Linked DNA regions of Xenopus tropicalis. The protein of the gene in region 2 purifies or fractionates together with the protein of the main gene of each other region. This does not show direct contact. Links are inferred from orthologs where the notes say so. Each region holds a gene or a part of one and is shown on either strand. Other genes may lie near its edges. The genes, in order: cyb5r3, rtn4 and atl3.

The links.
Region 1: the proteins of rtn4 (region 2) and cyb5r3 purify together in Homo sapiens (affinity purification with mass spectrometry; 3 studies listed by BioGRID and IntAct, counting the BioPlex papers as one, with this or other methods). This does not show direct contact. The link is inferred for Xenopus tropicalis from reciprocal best matches to the Homo sapiens genes RTN4 and CYB5R3.
Region 3: the proteins of rtn4 (region 2) and atl3 purify together in Homo sapiens (affinity purification with mass spectrometry; 4 studies listed by BioGRID and IntAct, counting the BioPlex papers as one, with this or other methods). This does not show direct contact. The link is inferred for Xenopus tropicalis from reciprocal best matches to the Homo sapiens genes RTN4 and ATL3.

What each region holds. Positions count from the first base shown.
Region 1 is NC_030679.2:2,598,312-2,602,643, reverse strand, and holds the start of cyb5r3 (cytochrome b5 reductase 3), read right to left. Parts: upstream 2,842-4,332; 5' UTR 2,768-2,841; coding exon 2,747-2,767; intron 1-2,746. Other genes in the region: endoul (poly(U)-specific endoribonuclease), read left to right, coding at 3,497-3,510. UniProt on the Homo sapiens protein: Catalyzes the reduction of two molecules of cytochrome b5 using NADH as the electron donor.
Region 2 is NC_030681.2:24,264,155-24,267,806, reverse strand, and holds part of rtn4 (reticulon-4), read left to right. Parts: intron 1-2,334; coding exon 2,335-2,391; intron 2,392-3,033; coding exon 3,034-3,652. UniProt on the Homo sapiens protein: Required to induce the formation and stabilization of endoplasmic reticulum (ER) tubules. They regulate membrane morphogenesis in the ER by promoting tubular ER production.
Region 3 is NC_030680.2:36,371,923-36,376,136, reverse strand, and holds the start of atl3 (atlastin-3), read right to left. Parts: upstream 2,901-4,214; 5' UTR 2,889-2,900; intron 495-2,888; coding exon of another isoform or gene 493-494; coding exon 286-492; intron 1-285. UniProt on the Homo sapiens protein: Atlastin-3 (ATL3) is a membrane-anchored GTPase that mediates the GTP-dependent fusion of endoplasmic reticulum (ER) membranes, maintaining the continuous ER network. It facilitates the formation of three-way junctions where ER tubules intersect.

The DNA.
Region 1 (4,332 bases), on a different chromosome or scaffold from region 2:
GACTGATGTACAATATATGTGTGAGATACAGATCATTATCCCCAAGGTTTGGGGGTGCAGGAGTATAGGGGGGCCAGTGGGGTCCCTGACTGATGTACAATATATGTGTGAGATACAGATCATTATCCCCAAGGTTTGGGGGAGCAGGAGTATAGGGGGGCGGGGTCCCTGACTGATGTACAATATATGGTTTGGGGGTGCAGGAGTATAGGGGGGCGGGGGTCCCTGACTGATGTACAATATATGTGTGAGATACAGATCATTATCCCCAAGGTTTGGGGGTGCAGGAGTATAGGGGGCCAGTGGGGCCCCTGACTGATGTACAATATATGTGTGAGATACAGATCATTATCCCAAGGTTTGGGGGTGCAGGAGTATAGGGGGGCGGGGGCCCCTGACTGATGTACAATATATGTGTGAGATACAGATCATTATCCCCAAGGTTTGGGGGTGCAGGAGTATAGGGGGGCCAGTGGGTCCCTGACTGATGTACAATATATGTGTGAGATACAGATCATTATCCCCAAGGTTTGGGGGAGCAGGAGTATAGGGGGGCGGGGTCCCTGACTGATGTACAATATATGGTTTGGGGGTGCAGGAGTATAGGGGGGCGGGGGTCCCTGACTGATGTACAATATATGTGTGAGATACAGATCATTATCCCCAAGGTTTGGGGGTGCAGGAGTATAGGGGGGCCAGTGGGGCCCCTGACTGATGTACAATATATGTGTGAGATACAGATCATTATCCCCAAGGTTTGGGGGTGCAGGAGTATAGGGGGGCCAGTGGGGCCCCTGACTGATGTACAATATATGTGTGAGATACAGATCATTATCCCCAAGGTTTGGGGGTGCAGGAGTATAGGGGGGCCAGTGGGGTCCCTGACTGATGTACAATATATGTGTGAGATACAGATCATTATCCCAAGGTTTGGGGGTGCAGGAGTATAGGGGGGCCAGGGGGTCCCTGACTGATGTACAATATATGTGTGAGATACAGATCATTATCCCAAGGTTTGGGGGTGCAGGGTATAGGGGGGCCAGTGGGGTCCCTGACTGATGTACAATATATGTGTGAGATACAGATCATTATCCCCAAGGTTTGGGGTGCAGGAGTATAGGGGGGCCAGTGGGGTCCCTGACTGATGTACAATATATGTGTGAGATACAGATCATTATCCCCAAGGTTTGGGGGTGCAGGAGTATAGGGGGGCCAGTGGGGTCCCTGACTGATGTACAATATATGTGTGAGATACAGATCATTATCCCCAAGGTTTGGGGGTGCAGGAGTATAGGGGGGCCAGTGGGGTCCCTGACTGATGTACAATATCAATATATGTGTGAGATACAGATCATTATCCCCAAGGTTTGGGGGTGCAGGAGTATAGGGGGGCGGGGGGCCCCTGACTGATGTACAATATATGTGTGAGATTACAGATCATTATCCCCAAGGTTTGGGGGTGCAGGAGTATAGGGGGCCAGTGGGGCCCCTGACTGAATGTACAATATATGTGTGAGATACAGATCATTATCCCAAGGTTTGGGGGTGCAGGAGTATAGGGGGGCCAGTGGGGTCCCTGACTGATGTACAATATATGTGTGAGATACAGATCATTATCACCCAAGGTTTGGGGGTGCAGGAGTATAGGGGGGCCAGGGGGGTCCCTGACTGATGTACAATAAATATATGTGTGAGATACAGATCATTATCCCCAAGGTTTGGGGGTGCAGGAGTATAGGGGGGCCAGTGGGGTCCCTGACTGATGTACAATATATGTCGTGAGATACAGATCATTATCCCCAAGGTTTGGGGGTGCAGGAGTATAGGGGGGCCAGTGGGGCCCCTGACTGATGTACAATATAATGTGTGAGATTACAGATCATTATCCCCAAGGTTTGGGGGTGCAGGAGTATAGGGGGGCCAGTGGGGTCCCTGACTGATGTACAATATATGTGTGAGATACAGATCATTATCCCCAAGGTTTGGGGTGCAGGAGTATAGGGGGGCCAGTGGGGTCCCTGAACTGATGTACAATATATGTGTGAGATACAGATCATTATCCCCAGGGTTTGGGGGTGCAGGAGTATAGGGGGGCCAGTGGGGTTCCTGACTGATGTACAATATATGTGTGAGATACAGATCATTATCCCCAAGGTTTGGGGGTGCAGGAGTATAGGGGGCCAGTGGGGTCCCTGACTGATGTACAATATATGTGTGAGATACAGATCATTATCCCCAAGGTTTGGGGGTGCAGGAGTATAGGGGGGCCAGTGGGGTCCCTGACTGATGTACAATATATGTGTGAGATACAGATCATTATCCCCAAGGTTTGGGGGTGCAGGAGTATAGGGGGGCCCCTGACTGATGTACAATATATGGTTTGGGGGTGCAGGAGTATAGGGGTGCAGGAGTATAGGGGGGCGGGGCCCCTGACTGATACCAGTACAGGGATACTATACAGGCCCAGGCGGTTCCGGTTCCGGCCCAATACACAGTACCAGGCTACTGCACCTCACAGTGACCCCCCTGGAGCCCACAGATTGCCAGTTCCGGCCCCCCCCCCCCCATGGTTCTGCCAATGGTACGTTCCAGTACCAGCCAGTGACAGGGGGCTGATGGGTATAGGGACGCTATACAAAGCCCCATACTAAGGGTACAGCTGGGTCAGGCCCAAGTGCCACGGAAGGGGGGGGGGCAGTTAGAGCAGTAGGAGGGCGGGTCGGTAGGTTCCTGGGGGGGCACTTACCGTGCTAATTTGGGCCCCCATTTTACAGGTCAGTCAGGCGGACACGAACTCACAGAACGTCTCAGACTCACTGCAGCAGAGCCACGCCCACTCCGCCGTCAACACTGTACCACCCCCTTATGACTGGCTCCTCCCGCTTTTCTAAAAGAACCACAAGCCAACCAATCGCGTCATCCTCCTCCCTATGTGCCCGCCCCTTGACCAATATGCAAACAGCCTTATCTATGCGCCCGCCCACAGGCCTGCCAAATACAAGGCGCCCTTCCTTGAAACGCAGTATCCCGCCCGGTCCGCCCACCTCTCTATGTCGGCCAATCGCTTTGCAGGTTTATCTGACAGACGCACCCTCCCAAAACTTTGTGCAGCCAATCATTACATATCCTGCCGACCTTCCCAATTCTCCAGCAGAAAGTCAACATTAACAGCTAAACTTACTGTCTAAACATGTTTTGTAAGTCCCTCCCACTTGCCGCTTTCTTATTGGTTAAAAGTTACAAAAGCCCGCCCACTCAGTATTATCCCAACCCACAATTTAAACCAGAAAACCAAGCTGTCCGTCAATAGCTCACCCAAAACAGACACGCCCCCAAGTCTTTACAGTAGCCCAAGCGAAGAGGCAGGGGTGGGGCAGGGCTCCTCCCTTGTCGCGGGTTCCTATTGGCTGCTCCGGGGTGACGTGGGATACTTAGCGGTCTAGCGCTATTAGAGCGAGTGAGTGGGGAGCCGGCCGGAGAGTGACGGGCAGGAACCATGGAGAGTAACAGGTGGGACTGTCACCGGCTGTGTGTTCGGGGCTCTAACTGGGGCAGGGGCTGTACGTGATGTGGGGCCCCTACCTGGGGATGCAGGGCCGGTGAGTGAGGGGCCCCTACCTGGGGATGCAGGGCCGGTGAGTGAGGGGCCCCTACCTGGGGATGCAGGGCCGGTGAGTGAGGGGCCCCTACCTGGGGATGCAGGGCCGGTGAGTGTGGGGCCCCTACCTGGGGATGCAGGGCCGGTGAGTGAGGGGCCCCTACCTGGGGATGCAGGGCCGGTGAGTGAGGGGACCCTACCTGGGGATGCAGGGCCGGTGAGTGAGGGGCCCCTACCTGGGGATGCAGGGCCGGTGAGTGAGGGGACCCTACCTGGGGATGCAGGGCCGGTGAGTGAGGGGCCCCTACCTGGGGATGCAGGGCCGGTGAGTGAGGGGACCCTACCTGGGGATGCAGGGCCGGTGAGTGAGGGGACCCTACCTGGGGATGCAGGGCCGGTGAGTGAGGGGCCCCTACCTGGGGATGCAGGGCCGGTGAGTGAGGGGCCCCTACCTGGGGATGCAGGGCCGGTGAGTGAGGGGCCCCTACCTGGGGATGCAGGGCCGGTGAATGAGGGGCCCCTACCTGGGGATGCAGGGCCGGTGAGTGTGGGGCCCCTACCTGGGGATGCAGGGCCGGTGAGTGAGGGGCCCCTACCTGGGGATGCAGGGCCGGTGAGTGAGGGGCCCCTACCTGGGGATGCAGGGCCGGTGAGTGAGGGGCCCCTACCTGGGGATGCAGGGCCGGTGAGTGAGGGGCCCTACCTGGGGATGCAGGGCCGGTGAGTGAGGGGAC
Region 2 (3,652 bases):
TAGGTGCCTCATTGCGCTGAATACAGGCATGAAAGGGGACTTACAGCTAGAGATCTGAACTTATTGTACAGTGCTGCAGAATATGTTGGCGCTTTAATAGATACATGTTAATAATAACAGACAGAGTTATTTAAGAGACTTTCAGTGGGTACATTTGTTTTATGAACTTGAGAAATGACTTATCCTCTAAAGATTACTGTATGTTTATTACTACCGTATGTAATAAAGCAGCTGTCATTCTCTGAACTGCGGGCACTAGCAGAGCAGAGACTTATGGTGACAATGACAAAAGTGTGTTATTTGCTAGAAATGAGGAGACAAGCAGGAAAATTCTGGAATCCATTTTCTTGTTTGTAATTGGGCTAATGTTACTTTGGCTATGTACAGCAGTGCAATGAAATGAAAGTTCAGATATGGGACCTGTTATCCAGAATGCTCAGGACCTGGGGTTTCCCAGTTAAGGGGTCTTTCTGTAATCTGTATATCCATACTTAAATACCTCAAAATTACATAAACAACAAGATTGTGTTTCCTCCAATAAGGATTAATTATACCTTAGTTGGGATCAAGGTTTTATTATTACAGAGAAAAGGGATATCTTTTTTTAAAAAGTTAGAATTATTTGCTAATATTGAAATCTATGGGAGATGGCCTTTTTGTAATTCTGAGCTTTCTGGATAACAGGTTTTAGTATAACAGATCCCATACCTGTTTAGAGCATTTTGCATACTTTTGAGTACTTGGCAGTGTATTATGGGTTTATCCTGTAGTCTATTAAGGCTCAAAGTTCATCTTTGCTCTATTATATCTTCCCGTAAAGACGTTTGTTTAAAGCTCTGCCAGACTGCTGCAACATGGAAACCATTGGCTTTATAGGCACCACATGTCTGAAACAGCTCAAACAGGATCAAAATGCATCATCGGCAGCAGCTGCTCCTGTAGTTCTGTCGCTGGTCCTGCTGGTTACTGTGCATTCCGCCCATACTGCTGTACTGATGAATATGCCTTCTGCATCACCCACTATCCTCCTGCCCTAATGCCTAAATTTAGTTGTTGCCGCTCTTACTTGGTAGAGAATCTCATTGCTGTTGCACGTGAATCGACTTGGCTGAGTTCCTGGCAGATGATGTCTATATGATCTACAGCTATAGCCATGGAAACTGGCCCTGCAGTTAGTGGCTTCTTTGCTGTGACAGAACATTCATTTTTAGATGACACAAAATATTCTTGGGTTCCATGTGGGCGTCCAGTTATTTTGCTTAAGATTTAAAACTCCTTTTAACATCATTAGGGAAATGTATTACTGTGCTATGTTCTCTGTATTATGGGGAACAGAATCCATTAGTTCAGTAGATGCCCTTTTGCTGTAAATTTAATTGGTAAGTTTAAAACCTTACATTTAATTTAAATTTCCCTAAAGGGGAACTCTAGCTTTAGAATCAAAATTTGTTAAAGAGCCTCACTCAACACAGAAACCCCTAATGTACCTATCACTGTAATCTGTTCCTTAAAAATAAAAGTATGAATAAATACCATTTGTATATGGAAATCATACTATGAACAACTTTTCTCTTTCTACATGATTTGAAATCCTGGCAGGGGAGGAGGGACTAAAACATCAATGTTACAAATTATAACATAATCTCCACATTTTACAGACAGCATGCAGAAAGGAACTACATAACCCACAGTGCATTGCACTGTGATGTTCCTTTCCTTATTGACATCATGTGTTCAGGGAATTGGCTCAAAGCAGTCAGCCAGATCAACAGGGGGCGGGGCTTAGGAAACTGTTCCAAACCATAGTATTACATTAAACATGTAAAGCCTGGATATTTTTATTTGATGTATATTACAAAATTGCTTGAAATTATGTTTATTTTTCAAAAAACGTAAGTTGTGTTTGGGTGGCGTTCCCCTTTAATGTGGTCCTTTGAATAGTTTTGGAGTGAAAGCTAAATTCACTGGGGGTGCCAATTTGTTAGGCACCCCCTCTCCATAATCGAAATGTTATCCTTCTGCCCCAGCATTAATGGTGCGCCCCTTTGGTGCATTCTGGCTTGGTCCTATTACTGAGCAGCGTGATTGGCACTTGCATGGCATGCTAGTATGTTGTGGCTGCATGGAGCATGTTCTGGGCTGCCAAAAGGAAGGGCTAAGCCAGCAGTCTCTGTCTGAGATATATATATATATGTTATACTTATGCTCTCGTATATCTCTCTTAATGCTCTGTCTCTTAATGAAATCTCAGGGAATGTAAGATTGCTAGTTTTCCTTTTGCTTCTGATCTAATCAGCGACATTTCTCTAAGGCCTCTGTGTATTTGTTTTTCAGATGAGAACCTTTTCCCTCTTCCTGCTGCATCTGCGCCTCTGATGCACCCCTCTGCAGGCAAGTTCTTTCTGCTCTCCTGCTCTGTCTCTGCATTAACCCTCTGTCTGTCTCTCTCACTTGCTCCTTCACTCATTAGTGGTTAGAGTGTCACTGTGGCCGTGTCTGTCTGTCTGTCTCTCTCACTTGCTCCTTTACTTATTATTGGTTAGAGTGTCACTGTGTCTGTCTGCCCTGTGCACAACACTTACCCTCAGGAAACGGAGCACCGAGTTTTGGGATCATTTGAAGCATCCATGTTCTTACTATGTCATGAGTATTGTTTGTAGGGGTTGTTCAACTTTGAGTTAACTTTTAGTATGTTTTAGAGAGAAATTCCAAGCTTCCAATTGCAGATTGTCTCAGAATAGCATTCTCTACTTCATACTAAGATAATTTAACAGTGAACAACCCCTTTATCAGGCACCACATGGACCTTTATGCAGACGCACACAATGAATCTTGGGGTGAAAATGTGCATTTTTTCACTACAAAATACACTGAATGCCTGCACACAGGAGCGAGTGGCTCGGTTGTTTCTCCGCCTGCATTTCTATTTAACAACAGCTACACAGCCTAATAAATCTATTGCTTTATCTGTGCAGTAAATGCTTATGTCTTCTGTCTGCTACTGATAACTTTCCTTTCTGTTCGTGGTCACAGACAAAGTAACGGACTTGCAAGAGCCTTCTAGCACTGTATCCACTGGCCAAGAGGAACTTGCATCTGTGCTGCTTCAGTCTACTGCTTCCCTTTCTTCTTTGCCTTCTCTGTCTACTGATTCCTCTAAAGAGCATGTGGACACTGTCGCTTTGCCTGCTGGCTTAGCTGCCACTGAAGCTTTGCAAGAACACATCGATAACATATTTAACGTATCAAGGACCACTGATAATTTACTATTAACAGACCACTTAGAAACTAAAGCTTTAGACCAAGTTAAGGAAGATGTGATATTTTCTGAGAAGGGTTATGTAGTTGAGCATCCAACATCTCGACAGGAGACCATCTCTGAAGAGCACGCTAAATTGTACTCCCAGTCTGCTAAAGAGATGTTTTCAGGTATGCTTCAGTCTGTTGGGCCTCCTCATGAAGAGTTTACGGATATCAAGGAAGTCGAGGATCAGTATGTTGACTTTAAACCGTTCATGAGTTCAAAGTCAGCTGATATTAGCTATGAAGTGAGAGATGTAGTAGGAAAATTTCAAGTTGATGTTGACCGTCCAAACTTAGAGAGCATGGTAAAGCACGAGGAGAAGTCTAGCGAGGACTTTTCAGATGATAT
Region 3 (4,214 bases), on a different chromosome or scaffold from region 2:
TAGCCTCTATGCACACTATCAGCTTACAGGAGGCTTTATTTGGTAGTAAATCTTGTTTTTATTCAACCAAAACTTGCCACCAAGTGAGGAATTCAAAAATAACTACCTGGTTTGGGGGCACTGGGGCCAACGTTCAAGGGGTTGGTGAGCAACTTGTTGCTCTTGAACCACTGGTTGGGGATCACTGGTTTAGAGACACATAGTCATAATAGAAATTAGTGATCTAAATCATCTGAAAGTAACTAGTGCAGATTCCTGAGCCAATTCAGTACCCTAGGATGTTACCTGGCTGTAGACATATCTCAGCATGAAGTCCAACAAGAATGATTTCCCTTTGCGGAAAGCACCTGCTACTGACACAACGACAACATCCAGATCACGAATATGATCCTGAAGTAGTACAGATGCCAGAGCTTCTTCATCCAGCTGGAAGGAATGGTCATCCTTTTGTACTAACACTACCTGGACCGGACCAGGTGCAGAAGAAGCCATGTCTGCATGCAGAAAACAGAAAGAGCCAAAAAGAAAGGAAGAAATGCTGTGTATGTATTTTATATTCAAACAACTCAGTAAGAACAAAATAATGCTATTGTGTACACAGGAATATACAGAGAAACATCATTACATTTTTCAAATGTAGTACTCTGTCTTAAAGAAGAACTAACCTACAAGCCCTGCTCTAACATACCAGTGCTGACAATGCAGTGTTTCCCAGCAATCCAACAATCCTCTACTTTTTGCCCACAATCACCAACCAGGAACATGTACATATTCTAATGTTGCCACAAAGCAGAGGACCAGAAGTCAAGCAGCCCACCATGCAGCACTGCATTTTCAGCATATCTGTATGATGGAGCAGGGCAACTCTGTGCTGGGGGTTGCAGGTTGTCTTTACTGAGGAGAAGGGGAGGCAGTGCACGGGAACCCAGGTTAAAGTTTGCATTTAGTTCTCATTTAAATATTAAAAATATAAATTTAAGACATATTAAATATATAGATTTTAAATAAATTTTTAGTCTGTTTCCTTTCTCACACCCGTTTCTCACATGCCAATCGTTTGCCATCCACCTTGTTTTCCACAAGCACCTTCAGGCACAGCATCCACCTGTCAATGCTCACATGGGGTGGGTTTTGCCCTGAAAATGCCCAACTTCGCTTTTCAGGCCAAAATCTGCCCCATATGCACATTGACAGATGCCTTGCTGTCAGTTGGTGCTGAAACACCAGATGTTCTCATGTCACTTGTGGCAGGTGTCATGTGTGTGTGACAGCAGCCTTTATCTTGGGTACCCTGATGCTGCTTTACTAAAACTGTCAGTGTTCTTTTTTTTTATAGTTTATCCTTTTATTTTTAATATAACATACATGAAACAAAACATCAAGAAAAGAGTAAAGAAAAAAATAAAATCGGAAAAAAAGGAAAAAAATTATATACCGTTGGATACAGTATTGCGGTAACATATTAAACATGTTTCAGTTTTGTTATGACAGATATACTAATAAATTAACATAGGTTTGGTTGGTATGACATAGATTACAGTTGTATGGCGCTAATCCATTCACTTATATTGTAGTAGGGTTGGAGGTAGTGTAGAGGTTTTTTAGGTGATTATTGCTTGGGGAGTTTGCTAGGGAATTAAAGTCATCCGCATGTGTAAGTTAGGGTATTGTATTTTATGCCAGAGTACCTTGTCCACCTAGGCCCGCCTCCCACCATGGGCTCCAAATTTTCTCAAACTTCTTTTTGGAACCTCTGGCTAACAGAGTAAGTTTAATGAGGGGCAGAACTTGATTTACCAGGGTGATCCAGTTTTGAACCGTAGGAGGTTCAGGTCCCATCCAAGCCATTGCAATGATTTTCCTGGCATAATATAGAAGTGTCCTATATCTGGTTCTAGCATAGTTGGTAGTTATTAATTCATCTAGGATTCCCAGTATGCATATTTGGGGTGTCAGAATTTTGGGGAATTCTAGTTTATCTGCTAGGACACACATAACCTCAGACCAAAATTTGGCTATTTGTGGGCACGACCAGGCCATGTGTAGGAAGTTCGCCTCTTCCATTCACTGTCAGTGTTCTTTAACATATAGTCAAAGGTAAAAGAAAGCTGAAAGTTGTAGTTGTAGTAATTAGAAAAGAGTATTTTAATGACTAGTGATAGCAAAAAGTAATTGCGTAGTACAGAGTACTTTTTTTTTTTAGCAAAAGAAAGCCAAAAATTCATTTTCTTTGCAAAGAAAGAAAAAATCTAAACACCTTTGTAATATACATGCATAAAAATGTTTCTGTTGTTTACAATTTTATTTTAAATGTGTTTTCACCTAAAAGTGGTATCTATATTCCTTTCTCTTTCTGCACTGCTAAAACAACACAGAAAATCAGTTCACTTCCAGCTCTGTTCCTTACTGGCTTCTGGCACATTGTGCGAGGAGTCGGAGCCAGCAAGGTGGAGAATGTAAACAGTCAGCAAAGTACCGCTTTCAATAGCAATAACTCTTATAAATAACTTATTATAGATCCTTTACAATCTGCATGTAATGAAGAAAAAAGGCAGACACTCTTGGGATTCAACATACTTTGTTGCAACCCACTAGAGTTTATATGTAAACACACAAAAAGTTATCTACAGTTATGCTGGGCACTCAAACAAACAATCTTTATGGACACCGACTTATTAGTAAGAAGTTACCTCTGTAATGGCTTTTATGCTCATGAATTGCTGTCACCAGCAAGCAAAAAGAAAGTTAAAATATTGCAAAGTATGAGCATGGCTTTTTCATTATACAGTGACAGAGAGTCAGAACAGACGACATATTATGTAATTCTCATAACCTATTAATGTCAGCATACAGTTCCCCAGAAATAAATGGTTGAAATTGCATTTTACCTCTTATAAATGTAATTGTATCAAAGCTGCAGAGAGACCCTCACTGTTCCGTGCCTGGCCTGAAATCAGGGCTGGGCGTGTCTTCACGTTCAGTCTTCCACAGGAAGTAGTCATAATTGTGAGTGACTGGTACAAATTCTGCAATAGCAGCCCAAGTCCCGCCCCTTGTCTTTGTGCTACTAGCCCAGTCAAAGTGGGTCACTGTAAATGAGGGTAGTGCAGCTGCAGTTTTGCTCCAAACTCAAGTGTTCTATTGTCTCACACTATCATTTGTTAGAGCTTCTCATTCTCAGCAATGTCTTTGGCTTTAGGCACATAGTACTGACAATCAGCTTTTCTCCAACAGTATATTCTCACAGGCAAGAAAAGCTGATACATTCCCATCCAATCCTTTTTCTTGGTGCACTGACAGTTCTAGTGTCAGTCTGTGAACGCACAGACATTTCGCTGCAGAAACACAATAGAATGCATTCACAAGGGTGAATGACAGTAAGCACAGCACTGAACACAGATGATACATAAACTGCGTTCCGTCTGCGATTGGCAACCCATGTGTGAGAGCCCTTATTTGCAGGTATTCTACTACAGTCTCCCATGGCAGTGTTCAATACAGCAGTGACTCAAGGAACACACTTTCTTGTCATTATTTAATTTGACATATCAGGAAGTGGCATTGTGGCTGCCACAGAAAAACAACTACCTTCAGTCTTGGAGAGAGACAGCTCTAGTTCTGTGACAGCTGGAGGGCCACCTGCTCACATGGGGTAACAAGTTTCCAATAGCAAACAAACACAGGTGACATAGACACGGGTATTAAAGCTGCCTCCTCACACCTGACTGGTGTCAGCGCTCATGTGCCAATCATATCTAAGTGGGGTATCCCTTTAGCTCAACTTTACTGGTTAGTGTCTTTATATAGGTACCAGAGGATGTGCGCAGGTCAGAATAAGAACAAAATTATATGGCCATCAGCTGTGTATCAGAGCCAAATTTGAAGTATGTACACCCCTAGGCTGTAGCAAAGCTCATCACTAACAATAGAATTGCGGTAGTGGGGACTGGAAGGGCGGAGAGTCAAATAGCTGTTTAGATCTTCTGTCTGCCCAATCCCAAATGTAGATGAGGCACGGTGGCATGCTGTCCTCACAGTCCTCCTGATGCCCTAGGCCCAGGCCTTTGTGGCCTTTCCACAAATATGTGCCTGGTGTCTATAAAGAATATATGGCCCTGGGTGGTGGCAACCTTGTATGAATTGCTCAAGTATACAAGAAGAAAGCATTTATTCAATCTGCTATCCTTTCACCCCAAAATTGTGCACTTCCCGTC